Regions from separate parts of the Mus musculus genome. Here regions 2 and 3 are each reported to be linked to region 1. The links are microRNA targets in miRTarBase. Many come from high-throughput screens and were not tested one by one. Region 1 holds a microRNA gene; each other region holds the end of a gene's coding sequence.
The links. The annotated mature microRNA mmu-miR-758-3p reads UUUGUGACCUGGUCCACUA and lies in region 1 at 2,688-2,706, opposite strand. An mRNA with a match to its seed (bases 2 to 7 or 8) in the 3' UTR can be bound and repressed. Matches are read on the target gene's strand: a 7mer-m8 pairs with bases 2 to 8, a 7mer-A1 pairs with bases 2 to 7 and ends in A, and an 8mer does both.

Region 1 (4,144 bases):
GCCACCACGGGGACCCTGTCCCTTCTTCAAATGACTTTCCTTCCAGGGCTGAGTCCTGATGCCATACTCCCATGTCCCATGTCCCAGAGTCCAGGGAACAGCAGTCCAGGTCCCTTCCCTGAAGGCGTCATCAGGGACAGGGAGTGCCCCCAGGGTGGGATTTGATACTAAAAAAGAGGTTTCCCGTGTATGTTTCATCATAAATAAAGAGAAGACAACACGGACAACCTCTCCTTCAAGTATCAATTAGCACTGGTCAGAAAGCAAACAAAGGCAGCTGGAAAGTGCCAGGTGCCTTGTCAGAAGTGTCTGCTTCTGTGGGCCCTGGAGAGCAACCAAAACCCCTGTGCAATTTGACAGTCCACAGAATTGCCTGAGACTATTTACCAACAACACAGACCACCTGCATTCCTTATCTCTCCAGGTTTAGGGGGGGTCACTGAAGGGAACCAGGGACCCCAGAAATTGTGCCTCAGGAGATAACAGGGGAATAGTAGCTCTCAACTTCAACAAGTACAGTACATTGGGGGTGTTCAGGAATGAGCCTCGGATTCTGGTTCCAAGAGGTAGGTGGGTGATGAGAAGCGACCCAGCCCTCTGGTTGTGAGTCTGGGTAGTTTCCAGGGAAGGTAAGATTCTAAAAGCAGACACATTATAAAGTTAGTAGGAAGGTAAATGTGTGCCAGCACATGTGGTAGTATAAAGAAGCAGCAGGCAGGGGCAGGCAGTTCCACCCCCTGGTCGAGTGGTTCTCAACCTTCCTAGTGCTGTGACCCTTTAATATACTTCCTCATGTTGGGTAATCCCCAACTGTAAAATTATTTTCAATGTTACTTCATAACTGTGATTTTGCTACTGTTATAAATCATAATGTAGATATCTGATATGAAATGCCTATGAAAAGGGCTCATGATTTGCAGATGAGAATTGTGTTCTACCTGGAACCCCACAGAAAGCTCTACTGCTGACCACAACCCTGGGTGGAGTTAAGGACTAAGAACAGATTTCACATCTTTTGTTTATTTGTTTGTTTGTTTGGTTGGTTGGTTGGTTTGGTTTTTTTCGAGACAGGGTTTCTCTGTATAGCCCTGGCTGTCCTGGAACTCATTCTGTAGACCAAGCTGGCCTCGAACTCAGAAATCCACCTGCCTCTGCCTCCCAAGTGCTGGGATTAAAGGCGTGCGCCACCACTGCCCCGCTCCAGATTTCATATCTTAAAGCTCACTGGGCAAATGTGTGTGCCAATTTCAGGTTTGCTTTCCTACTGCTAGAACACTGCTGATTCCAAGTCTCTTATTACAAGGATGTGGGTGTGTGTGAATAGCATGGATCTAGGTACCATCTGACACAGTGGGTGTTCTCTACAATAGACAGTCCTATAGCAGGGGTTGGCTGATTAAAAGCCCATCACCGTGCCTCCAAAGCATGCTGGACATGTGTGGGGGTGGCTGTGTCTAACCTGTTAGAAGCAAAGTGGGTGCAACCTACCTGTGATGACCTGGGGTAGAGTTGCCTCGGTGGCTGCCATCTTCCCCAACTTTGGAACACCATATTGGTTGAGAAGTCCTCCTGAGAATGGACAAGATACTGAAGGTTAGAAGCACAGGCAACAGAAATCTGATGTATGGGATGGGTTTTGTCCGTCACTCACTTGTTCATAACTATTAGTGTGTCCTCAGCTGAGGCTGAGGTATGGACCAGAAGGCCTCCATAGTTTGTTCTGATGGGAAGAGAGGTTGACCAAATGTGTTTCAAACACAGAAACCCCTCTTCCACATCCTCAGTTAACAATAACAATGACACCTTCCCAAACTGGACCTTCAGACCTGGCAGGCCTGGGAGGGTTTAGAGGACAAAGGACACCATTCAGAACGATAATCCACTCGCTGGCTTTGTGGAGAACCAGTTATTCCTGTCCCCTGGCTGGATGCTGACAGGACCATCCTTCCCTGAGACTGGGATCTGGACCACGAAGCCTCCAAGATGGGATTTGATACTGAAAAAAAGGTTAGCTGGGTGTGTTTCATTCTCATCAAAGAAACAGAGACCCAGAAAACCTCTCTTCCGGTACCAGAAGCGAACACTGACAAGACTACCTCGGTAATTCCCCAACGTGACCTTCAGACCTGGCAGGCCTGTTGAATGCAGGGTTGCACACTGGATGTTAGTCAAAGTGCTCAAGCAAGCCATTAGTTGATATATATCTGACAGCCATCCCATCACATGCCCCAGTACAGCAGACCTCCATGGCATGATCCTGAAGTTATGTCACAACCAGAGAGCAGTGGCGCAGTAGAGACTGGCTATAGGACTTACCACCATTTTGGGTAACCACAGAAAGGCACAGATGCCCCCAAACCAAAGATGATTCCTCCCACAGATTTAGCATGCAAGTGTGCTAAGGTGACCTGCGACCTGTGCCATATATAAATGGCATACACACACCCTGGTCATGTCTGACAACATGGTACGTTTCTTGAACTTGGATGGCCCCATATCAAGGAAGGGATCCAAGTATAGGACAGCATTGGAAGCCCATCCAATACTACCATAACAGGCACATATGTTGCAAGTACTGAGGATGCTGTCTCCAAGTCTAACAGCGTACAGCTGGCTTATTGCCTCTGTCCCCAAAAGTTGAGATCTCTTCCAGGAAGTTCTCCAAGGGAAGGTTAGATACTGAGGGTTAGTGGACCAGGTCACAAACGGCACAAATATAGCGTGTGCTCTCTGGTCAACCACCTCACGCACCCACACGTGTATCACATGTCGATGCCACTTTCCTGGTCTGCAAGTCACCCTGCCCACGAAGCTGCCAAGCCAGAGAAATTTGCTGAGAAGAAGGCTGCCACACAAGAGTTATTGTCAGACACAAGAAAAGACAAACCCGCTGGCTGGGTTGCGCTAGCACACACATTTAGTGTCCCCACCCCACAGCTGGTGTTAGCTCCAGGAAAGCTCGCAAGGCGGGATTAGATACCGCAAAGAGGTCGACCGTGTAATGTGCGCCATAAATGAAGCGAACGCGCCACGGACCACCTCTCTCCAAGTACCAAGCAGCAGCAGTAGGAAGACCGGGACACTGGCTCTTCCTCAAAGCAGATGTCACCTCCTGGAAGTCTTCCAAGGCGAGATGTGATATTGAGAAGAAGTAGACCATGTGTCCTACGTCATAAATAAAGCGTACACACCATGGTCAACCGCATCTTCAAATACCTTGAGGTAACGCTGGCTGATTCCAGCTCACTTTACTTAATTTGGTGTTACCTCCAAAATGCCTTCTCAATGAGTGTCACAAACTACCAGCAATCGGCATGTGTGGCAATGGCCACAAACTCATGTTTAATGCCACTATGACTTCCAGGATGCCCTGTAAGGCTGGGCTGGGTGCCAAATATTGGCTTTGGATCAAATGGCCAGAGTCGTAGGTAATGAACATGGCCTGTAGCCAAGCACTGGGTAATCTGTGTTGGATAGGGTCTGCCGCCTGAGCCCTACTCTCAATTGGTATGGCTTTCAGAAAGCCCCTGGTGACCGGCTGATGCAGAGATGTGGTGGACCATGCTGTACATGCTGGAATTAACGCACACACTCGACAGTCTACCATCTCCCCAAGTACTGTGCTGAAGCCAGGACAGGATATCTCCCATGAAGTTGGCTCGGTCTCTGGAAAACCCTCACGAATGACTTTGATAACGAGAAGATGTGGACCATACTACATACGACACAGAAGTAGCGCATGTTCTATGGTCAACCATCTTTTCAGGTACCATGGAGAGAGGGTGGTGCAGGAGCTGGCTTCTTTCCTCATGATTATCACTTCCAGGAAACCCTAGATGCAATGTTGAAAAGAGACCACCATGCATTGCCTGCTGCAGATGCAGAGAATATAGCAAAGAGAAGTTTGCAAGGACGCGAAGAGAAGACCCCGTAACTAGCACTGTGCCTTTAAGGAAATATTGTTCACAGGAAGCCCCCAAGGCGCATTCACTATTATGGGAAGGTGGACCAAATTAACATGCGCTGTAAGTAAAGCAAGAAGCATGGACAACCTCTACCCCAAGGCATTTGTCCTTCTGCCTTGCCCCCCCACCCCCAAGGTTAATGGGGCCTCTTTGGAAACCTTCAAAGCTGAAGTTGATAT
Region 2 (4,000 bases), not on the chromosome of region 1:
GAGGTTCGGGTAAGGAAGACCCGGTAGCCTAAAGGGTATTTTAGAAGGTATCATACATTCCACAAGACTTCAGCAGTGGCCTTGGTGAAGAGGCCCACGGAGGAGGGCCTCGGGGAGAGCTGAGCATGGCTGGGTTCACAGCCACAGTTCTTCTCAGGTGGGTGCAATGTGTGTTCCAGAACAAGACCGTGGTGAACCTGCTATTTGCTGCATATAGTGGAGATGTCTCGGCCCTTCGAAGGTAATTCTGTCATGACTAAATAGAGGTAATAAAATACTCGCAGTCCCACATCTTATTAGGACACTGTGCAGCAAACTGCTAAATGCTTCGGTTTACCCGTTAGACTAGAGAAGCTGCATTTAAATAAGTGTCTGTAGGCTCATTGTGTACACATGCCTGCTTGCCCAGTTGCACATTTGTATGTGTGCCTGTGGTAGCCAGAGGACAATTTCAGATGTCATAACCTATCAAGCCCCAGGGACTTACCTGTCCCCACCCCCCACCAATCTAGGATTAAAAACCAGTGCTACTATTTTTATTTTTTTTTCAATGTGGAGTCTGTGGATCAAACTCAGGTCTTGGCAGGCAAGCACTTCACTGAGCTATCTCTCCAGCCTGAGGATTTGTTGTTTTAAAATCAAAGCGCCTGCTGTGAGTTAAGAATTCATCAACTCAGCTGGGCTAGTGGCGCATGTCTTTAATCCCAGCACTCGGGAGGCAGGCGAATTTCTGAGTTCAAGGCCAGCCTGGTCTACAGAGTGAGTTCCAGGACAGGGCTATAAAAAGAAAACCTGTCTCGAAAAACAAAAAACAAACAAACAAAAAGAATTCATCAACTCAGGGCTGGAGAGATGGCTCAGTGGTTAAGAGCACTGACTGCTCTTCCAGAGGTCCTGAGTTTAATTCCCAATAACTACATGGTGGCTCACAACCATCTGTAATGGGGATCCGATGCCCTCTTCCGGTGTGTCTGAAGACAGTGACACTGTACTCACATACATGAAATAAATAAATAAATGAATCTTAAAAAAAAAAGAATTCATCCACTAATGGCGTGGGTTTGGCGAGCATAGTCATTGGAAGTGACTCATATACAATCCTCAATGGATTGCCAACAGGAACCCATCCAGTCTGGCCCCACTTCAGAACGCTATCTAAGTGATTCCAGACTGGCAAGGGTAACCCACGCGACTTCCCACTCCCCTCAGGTTTGCATTGTCGGCCATGGATATGGAGCAGAAGGACTATGATTCCCGCACAGCCCTACATGTCGCTGCAGCTGAAGGTATCTTTTTGGTTTTGGATTTTTTATTTGTTTTTCATGGCAGGGTTTCTCTGTGTGGCCCTGGCTGTCCTGGAACCTGCTCTATAGACTAGGCTTGACTCAAACCCGGCCTCCCAAATGCTGAGATTAAAGGCATGTGCCAGCACTGCCCAACCTAGCTGTAGGTATTCAGAGGGTTAAAGAGAAAGAGCAGAGTGGAGGGCCCTTTCTCTTCTACCAGATGTCCCCCTATCATTGTGCCCATAAAGGGCAATGGCTAGTTTTGTCTACAGGCCTTTCACCCGACAGGGAGACTAGACTGTAACTAGGGGCTAGCAAGAGCAAATATTGAGGACTTTTCTCCTCCCCTCTGGTACAGACTCTAGCTACCGAGGGTCTACACCAAACAGTTCAGAACCTACCTGCACGCTCTCATTTTCCTCCTACCTATATTCCTAGGGCACATTGAAGTTGTCAAATTTCTGATCGAGGCTTGCAAAGTGAATCCTTTTGTCAAGGACAGGTGAGTAATATTTAATTCTAAAGGGAAGGAGGTCAGCCTTCCGGCCATTGTGCATACACATGCAACAATGGCTCTCTCCGAGTCCTCTTTGCCTAACTGTGATCCCTGCTCCTCACAGGTGGGGCAACATTCCCCTGGACGATGCTGTGCAGTTCAACCACCTGGAGGTGGTCAAACTGCTTCAAGATTACCATGACTCCTACTTGCTCTCTGAGACTCAAGCTGAGGCGGCAGCTGAGACCCTGTCCAAAGAGAATCTAGAGAGCATGGTATGAGCACAGGCCCAGGGGCAGTCCCTGCTTCAGAAAAAGCATGAGCTGGCCACACATTTAACCCACAGCCACCAAAAATACTACGGCAAGCTGCTTCCTTGGGGATCGACACAGCCATTTGGTGACACAGGCCAGTGTTTTCTGAGAATCAAAACGCCCCATCAGTTCAGTGCACAGCACAGAGAAAAGCCTCAATGGATACCTGAGCAGAGCTAGCTACAGAGACCTCCAGATACAGCTCGAGAGTAGCCCGGGTCTTTACCCAGGTCCCCTTTTCCTCTCTGAAGAAATCATCATGCCAACAAGCAACTTCCTTGGAGAGCCTCTAGCTACATGCATATGTATCTGCCGCAGAGTAAGAGAAATGGGTGAGAGCCAAACCACGTGGCTTTAGAAGTCTGCGGAGATCTGTCCATCTTAGCCAGGACACGCTGCTACTGCTGACAGCAATTTTATAGACAGAGTATTTTGTGTTCAAATAAACTTTAATTACATGAATTATAATTTTTATTTTATATTTTGCTAAATTTAGTCGTTCTCTTTCTCCCCTAAGGACATCATCAGTTATCACCATTGTAGCACCCAGGGTCAGACAAGTCCAAACTGAATATTCCGCATACATATTCAACTGTTTCACCAGGTTTTCCTCAAACCAAAATACTGCTTTTATTAAGTACATTCTGTGGCCAAGGGAGATGGGAGTTGTGGGTCTGAACAGGCTCCAAAATGGATTGTGTAAAGTTGTCTTTTTTCTGGAGCTTTGAACTGTGGCAGATACACAGAAGGAACTTATCGAGGGTAACGTTTCTGGCACCAGAGCCATACATGTCTCCCTAGTGTCTCTTTCCCTTTGTCACATAACTGGCACAATGGTTATGGCAAACTGCCTAGGTATCAGGTATCCAGAAGACAGATGGACTCAGAGTGGAGATAGCTGCATCTGGGTTGGACTGACATCTCTAGTGCTGAGGTACAACTGAGGAAGCCAGAACCCAAGAATCTGAGGTGCATCAGAGAAAAGGCCAAGCCTGTGGCTGCCACTCCTCCAGCCAGAGGTAGAGAGCATTTACTCTAGAGAATCTGGTGAGCCCCCAAAACAAGTTACATGTGGATAAGGGACGGGCCGAGAGGCAGGACCGCAGGACTGAACAGTCTAAGGTGTGTGGGCACAAGTAGAAGGACCCAAAGAACTGGCCTGAGGAGGCGAATCCCCTGATGACCTAGGAAACTGGCGACTTTGGCTGTATACCTAGCTCTTACAGAGTAGGGCCCAGGGGAAGATGGCTACAATATTGCACAAAGGATCCCAACAGAATTGTGAGAGCTACCAGTTGCTTGAAACAAAGTAAAATCGCTTTAGACACTAAGGACAGAAAGCTGACCATGAGCACGATTCAGGGTCTTGGCCACATTAGAGGCCCTTGGGCACTTCGAGTCCTGAGTGGGTTAGCAGCTCTCCATCCCAAAGAGCAAAAGCAGGTGCCACTGGGCCCCGGAAATCTGTCTGTAGTGTGTGGATCACAGAGATCCGACTCACATCCACCAGGCTCAGCTTCTTTGCCTCATAGTCCAGCAGCAGCCCCACCTTCTCTGGTTGCCCAATACCCTTAATTGGAGCTTTTTCGTTGGCCAACATGCTGTGCCACTTGCGCTGGGCATAGGAGAACACCCAGGAACGATCATCAGCACCAACGCAGCTGTCCCGGGACATGTCCACGTCTGCCACTCCTATCCGGAACTGCTGGGAGCGCTTCACTGTTACCTCCCAGTAGTGTCTGCCACTGGTGACTGTGGTGTCTCCGAGCACCACTGCCCACTCCCGGAAGCGCTCCAAATTCAGGGCCACCTTGGTGGGTTCCAGTCCCACCAAGCCATATTTGACACCCGTGTCGCCTCTGAAGAGTGCCAGGCTGCTGTGGGCCGTTTTTTCTTCCAGTTTG
Region 3 (4,000 bases), not on the chromosome of region 1:
ATCTCTTCCTTCTGAAATATCAAGTTGCAATGCAGAGAAGATGAAAAGGGCAATAAAGCTAGGTATGGTAGTATAAGCTTGTAATCTCCGTGTTCAGGAGGCTGAGGGATATGAGTTCAAAGTCAATATAAGAAACACAGTGTACAAAACTAATAAACAGGCAGGAAGAGCACTGTAAACTCAATGTTCTTTAGCTTAAATCTAATAGATGGTTTCACATTAACTACAAATGCAAACATTCCATATGGCAAGAAAAGCTTTCCAGTGTTGAGTCTTTAGCTCTTTTCAAACTGTCTTTTGCCATTCCTTCAACCTCAGCCACATTTGGAATTCCCAAATCAGCTTGTCCTGTTAGGTATGATGATGCTGAAATGCATGCCCCAATGTCACTCCTGCTAGTTGATCTCTAAGCTCCCAGGATATATATATATATCCCTTCCTAGATGTATATAAAAAGGCTAGAAAGCAGGAATCACATTTTACTCATGTGTGTGATAAATATGTAGAATAAATGAAATTCCACATAATTTTATGGCATGGCATATATGTAGCCTTCCCATCAGACACACAATAAAAATAGTATTTCATATCTAGAAGACACCTCATTTCACTTAAGCTGCTACATTATTTGGTCCTTAATTTTGATTAGTCAATTACTAGTACTTTGAAAGGTCCTAATTATCAGTTCATTGTTTTGTAAATGTGACTTTGGTTTTATTTTAAAATGTAAACTTAGAATTTTGTATTAACTTAAATAATAGGTTAGGCAAATCAAATTGCAATACTGATACTCATTAAAAGTAACTTTTAATCAGTGCCAATGAGAAAAGAATTTTGTTGGCACTTGGATCAACATGTGCTTTGTTATTTATATATTATGTATGAAATGAGCTTCTTTCTCAATGCATATACTATGATGCAAATTTGTTTCATTATTAAGACATCTGGATATTGCATATTTAATGGACTTACCTATGTAAACAGTAAAGAAAACAAAACTATCTTCTAAAACTTGAAAAATGCAAATCATAAAGACTGTTAGTTGAAGTAAAGCTGTTTACAAAGACCTTCACTCATCTATTTAAGAATAATATTGACTTGACCTCTACTTCCTATCTCCATATTTCTATTTTTACTTATTCAAAGACTAAGTTCCTAAGCAAGAACTAATCTTGATATATTTATTCAAACTTGGATTACATAAATTTCTCTTATATAGATGTAAGACAACACATTCATCTTGACAAAACTTTACCTTAACATAGTCACTCAAAAGATATGTCAGTAAGACTAGAACAAAAAACTAGAACAAAGTAAGAACAGTTAGGTGTAGTTTTGTTCCTTTAAGGTTGGCTTAGAATTTTTATTCACAAAAGCCTTACTTCCTTATTTCATTCTGTTGGACTTTCTTGATAGCTTATTTTTACAAATTAACCATTTAAAATATTTGTAGTTAAACAGCTGAATCAGTATTTGGATAAATGATTTGGAATAATTGCTTCCTGAAATAATAAGAAATGAATGCCAATAGACATTCAATGTTTACTAAGTTATTAACCAACTGAATAAAATATCTCTATACTTTCAGTCCTTGAAATACTCCTAAGACATACTCTAAAAAATATCTGAAAAGATAATATATTCACCACAATGGTCCAGCAGGTAAGACTAGATATGAACCAACCAACCCAGCCACCCACTCTTTACTTACAGCATTCTCTATTCTTCTTCCCTAATTTGGTGGAAAATTCTTAAGAACTATATTCTAAAATAAAAATGTGTCCCAAAGTACTTAAGAAAATGGTACAAATGGAAGGTGCCATTATTTAAAAAAAAAAAAAAAAAAAAAAAAAGAAGGAAAAAAATCCTAGCATTAACTAGCGGTAATCTGTGAATGGTAACATAATCCCACTCCACTGTCATGCATGCAGAAAGGCATGATATTTCAAAATTGCCTAACATTAAAAAATAAGCCTCTTAAATTAATTTGTATTCTAAAACACGGCCCTTCATCCTGGAAATTTTTTCCTCATAAAAAATGATGAGTCATGTATAGGATTTGAAAAGCCTGTATTAAAACTCCCTTTAAAGTTTTAAGTTCAATCACTATGTTTTCTATTATACTACATTTGGCAGATTTTTTTTGTCTGTAATTGCAGTAGTTGCAATTTAACAATAAACCAGTCTGACATTTTAGGTCTTGAAGATACATACCATATATATTTCTTTAAAAATAATCATACTTTTTGTGAGCAATACTTTACAGTAGACACCTCAAAAATCTACCATAGATGTGAAACTTAAAACAAGAAAAATTCAAATTCTAAATCTTTATACATATATCTAGATTTCTATATATATTATATATACAGACATAAGTATATATAAAATATATATAATCAGATTTGAAAAGTGAACAAAAATTGGGCACTGTACATAAATTCTTTTTAAAACTCAAACAATAGAAAACTCTTTAAACATTAAACAATTTTAATAAAAGTTTCTGTACAAGGCTAAGCAGTTTTATTTACACATAGAAAATGTAATAGGAGTAGTGTTTGAAATTACAGAACTCCTTAAAATTTCAATGGCAGGTAAATCTGGAAAAAATAACAGCATTCCATTCACAAATATTTTCAGGCAATAAATATGTATTTATAAATAGTGTAAATTTACATCAAGATTAGAAACAAAAAAAATCACAATTCTGAAGTTTATTTCTTAGTCTATGTGCAATCCATTATCTTTGTGACGTTGCTGTTAATTATTTTTTTTAAATGTTTTATTTGGGAACCAAAATTATAACGATCATAGTTTCAAAACAAGACAGAAATTCATAAAAGCAGTAAAAAAAGTTTCTTACTTAACTTTTCACATTAAAAAAAAAAAGGTGACCAAAGAAAGACTAAATATTGCTAACTACCTTACAAAGAAATGACCAGCTAGGCTAGTTATTTTCCCCCCCGAATAAAATTCTGAAAGGGAAAAGATAGGTGAAAACAAATTCATTAGCCCAGAAATCGAGAAATATAAAAGAGGTTGTCTTCAAGTCAGTAGTCTTTATGATGTTGCCAGTTTTGTCAGATATATACAAAACGTGGTAATTATTATTCTTTTTTTTTTCTCTGAAGTTCAGCTAATTAGCTTTACGAGAGTCCTGGCATAGGAGCAGTACTCTCCCGTCCAGTTGGTTGACACTCCACACTTGGAAGGTTGCATAGACACAGTTTTCAGCCAGCAGCCTTACGAGATAGCTACAAATAGCAGTGGTGCAGAACTGGGTTACTTTCTGAATAGCAGAAAAGGTCTCATGTTTAATGTCCATGGAACAATATCAAGATGAGGCGGATGGTAATGGAGGAGCCTGGAAATAAAAGCAAGGCAGACTATTTTGGTATGCTCATTTGTTAGTTGTGCTCCTTGATTCACAGCTGCAAATATATATGTTGCTTTATGAAACTGGCGGAAATTATTCTCTGTTAAAGTTCAACAGCCTTGTTACACAACGAAACAGTACAATTTCCCTTAAGATCTCCCACCTGGCCACCTTTTGTAAGAATCTTTTGTATGTTTTACTATGCCTCCTAAATCTTTTAGAATATTATTTAGTTTACCACTTTTTATATATTGCTTTCATTGACAGGGCTTTACAAAATCAATTTATCAAATTATTTACAATATTACTAGTGACTGCCTTCAGTAATCTAAGGCTGGTAATACTTTTTTTTTGGGGGGGGGGATAAATTCCAGGTGATTTTCTTTTTTTCTTGAAGCAATCTTGAACACCATCCAAATGAAAATACCAGGAGCTAAACTTCAAAAGCTAGGTTTTGATTACATGTATGTGGAAAGTATTGGAAGAAAAAAAAATTCATAAATTATGTCTGTAGTTCTAGTCAGATCTGTTTTGAGTGAAATGCTTCCTGTATCTGCTGCTTACAATGAAAAACTTTGTGATTTGTGAGTACACTTAAAATTCATAAGGTTATACCACATGCAA

Region 2: the mRNA of Spryd4 is a reported target of mmu-miR-758-3p. The part of its 3' UTR that is shown has no 7-base or 8-base seed match.
Region 3: the mRNA of Kdm6a is a reported target of mmu-miR-758-3p. Seed matches in the 3' UTR shown: 8mer at 2,746-2,753 and 7mer-A1 at 2,246-2,252.

What each region holds. Positions count from the first base shown.
Region 1 is chr12:109,711,420-109,715,563 of GRCm38, reverse strand. It overlaps Mir758 (microRNA 758), which reads right to left and starts at 2,754; the gene lies at 2,674-2,754. It overlaps Mir380 (microRNA 380), which reads right to left and starts at 3,761; the gene lies at 3,701-3,761. It overlaps Mir1197 (microRNA 1197), which reads right to left and starts at 3,247; the gene lies at 3,128-3,247. Mir323 (microRNA 323) reads right to left here and starts at 3,056; the gene lies at 2,971-3,056. It also overlaps Mir329 and Mir494.
Region 2 is chr10:128,207,382-128,211,381 of GRCm38, forward strand. It overlaps Spryd4 (SPRY domain containing 4), which reads right to left. Exons shown (of 2, transcript NM_025716.2): 2 at 2,527-4,000. The coding sequence ends at 3,472. It overlaps Gls2 (glutaminase 2 (liver, mitochondrial)), which reads left to right. Exons shown (of 18, transcript NM_001033264.3): 14 at 1-9; 15 at 180-241; 16 at 1,210-1,286; 17 at 1,725-1,788; 18 at 1,907-2,623. The coding sequence ends at 2,063. Among named protein-coding and RNA genes, the nearest start is that of Spryd4, 2.4 kb to the right of the region's middle.
Region 3 is chrX:18,277,990-18,281,989 of GRCm38, reverse strand. It overlaps Kdm6a (lysine (K)-specific demethylase 6A), which reads right to left. Exons shown (of 29, transcript NM_001310444.1): 29 at 2,054-3,364. The coding sequence ends at 3,335. Among named protein-coding and RNA genes, the nearest start is that of Kdm6a, 120 kb to the right of the region's middle.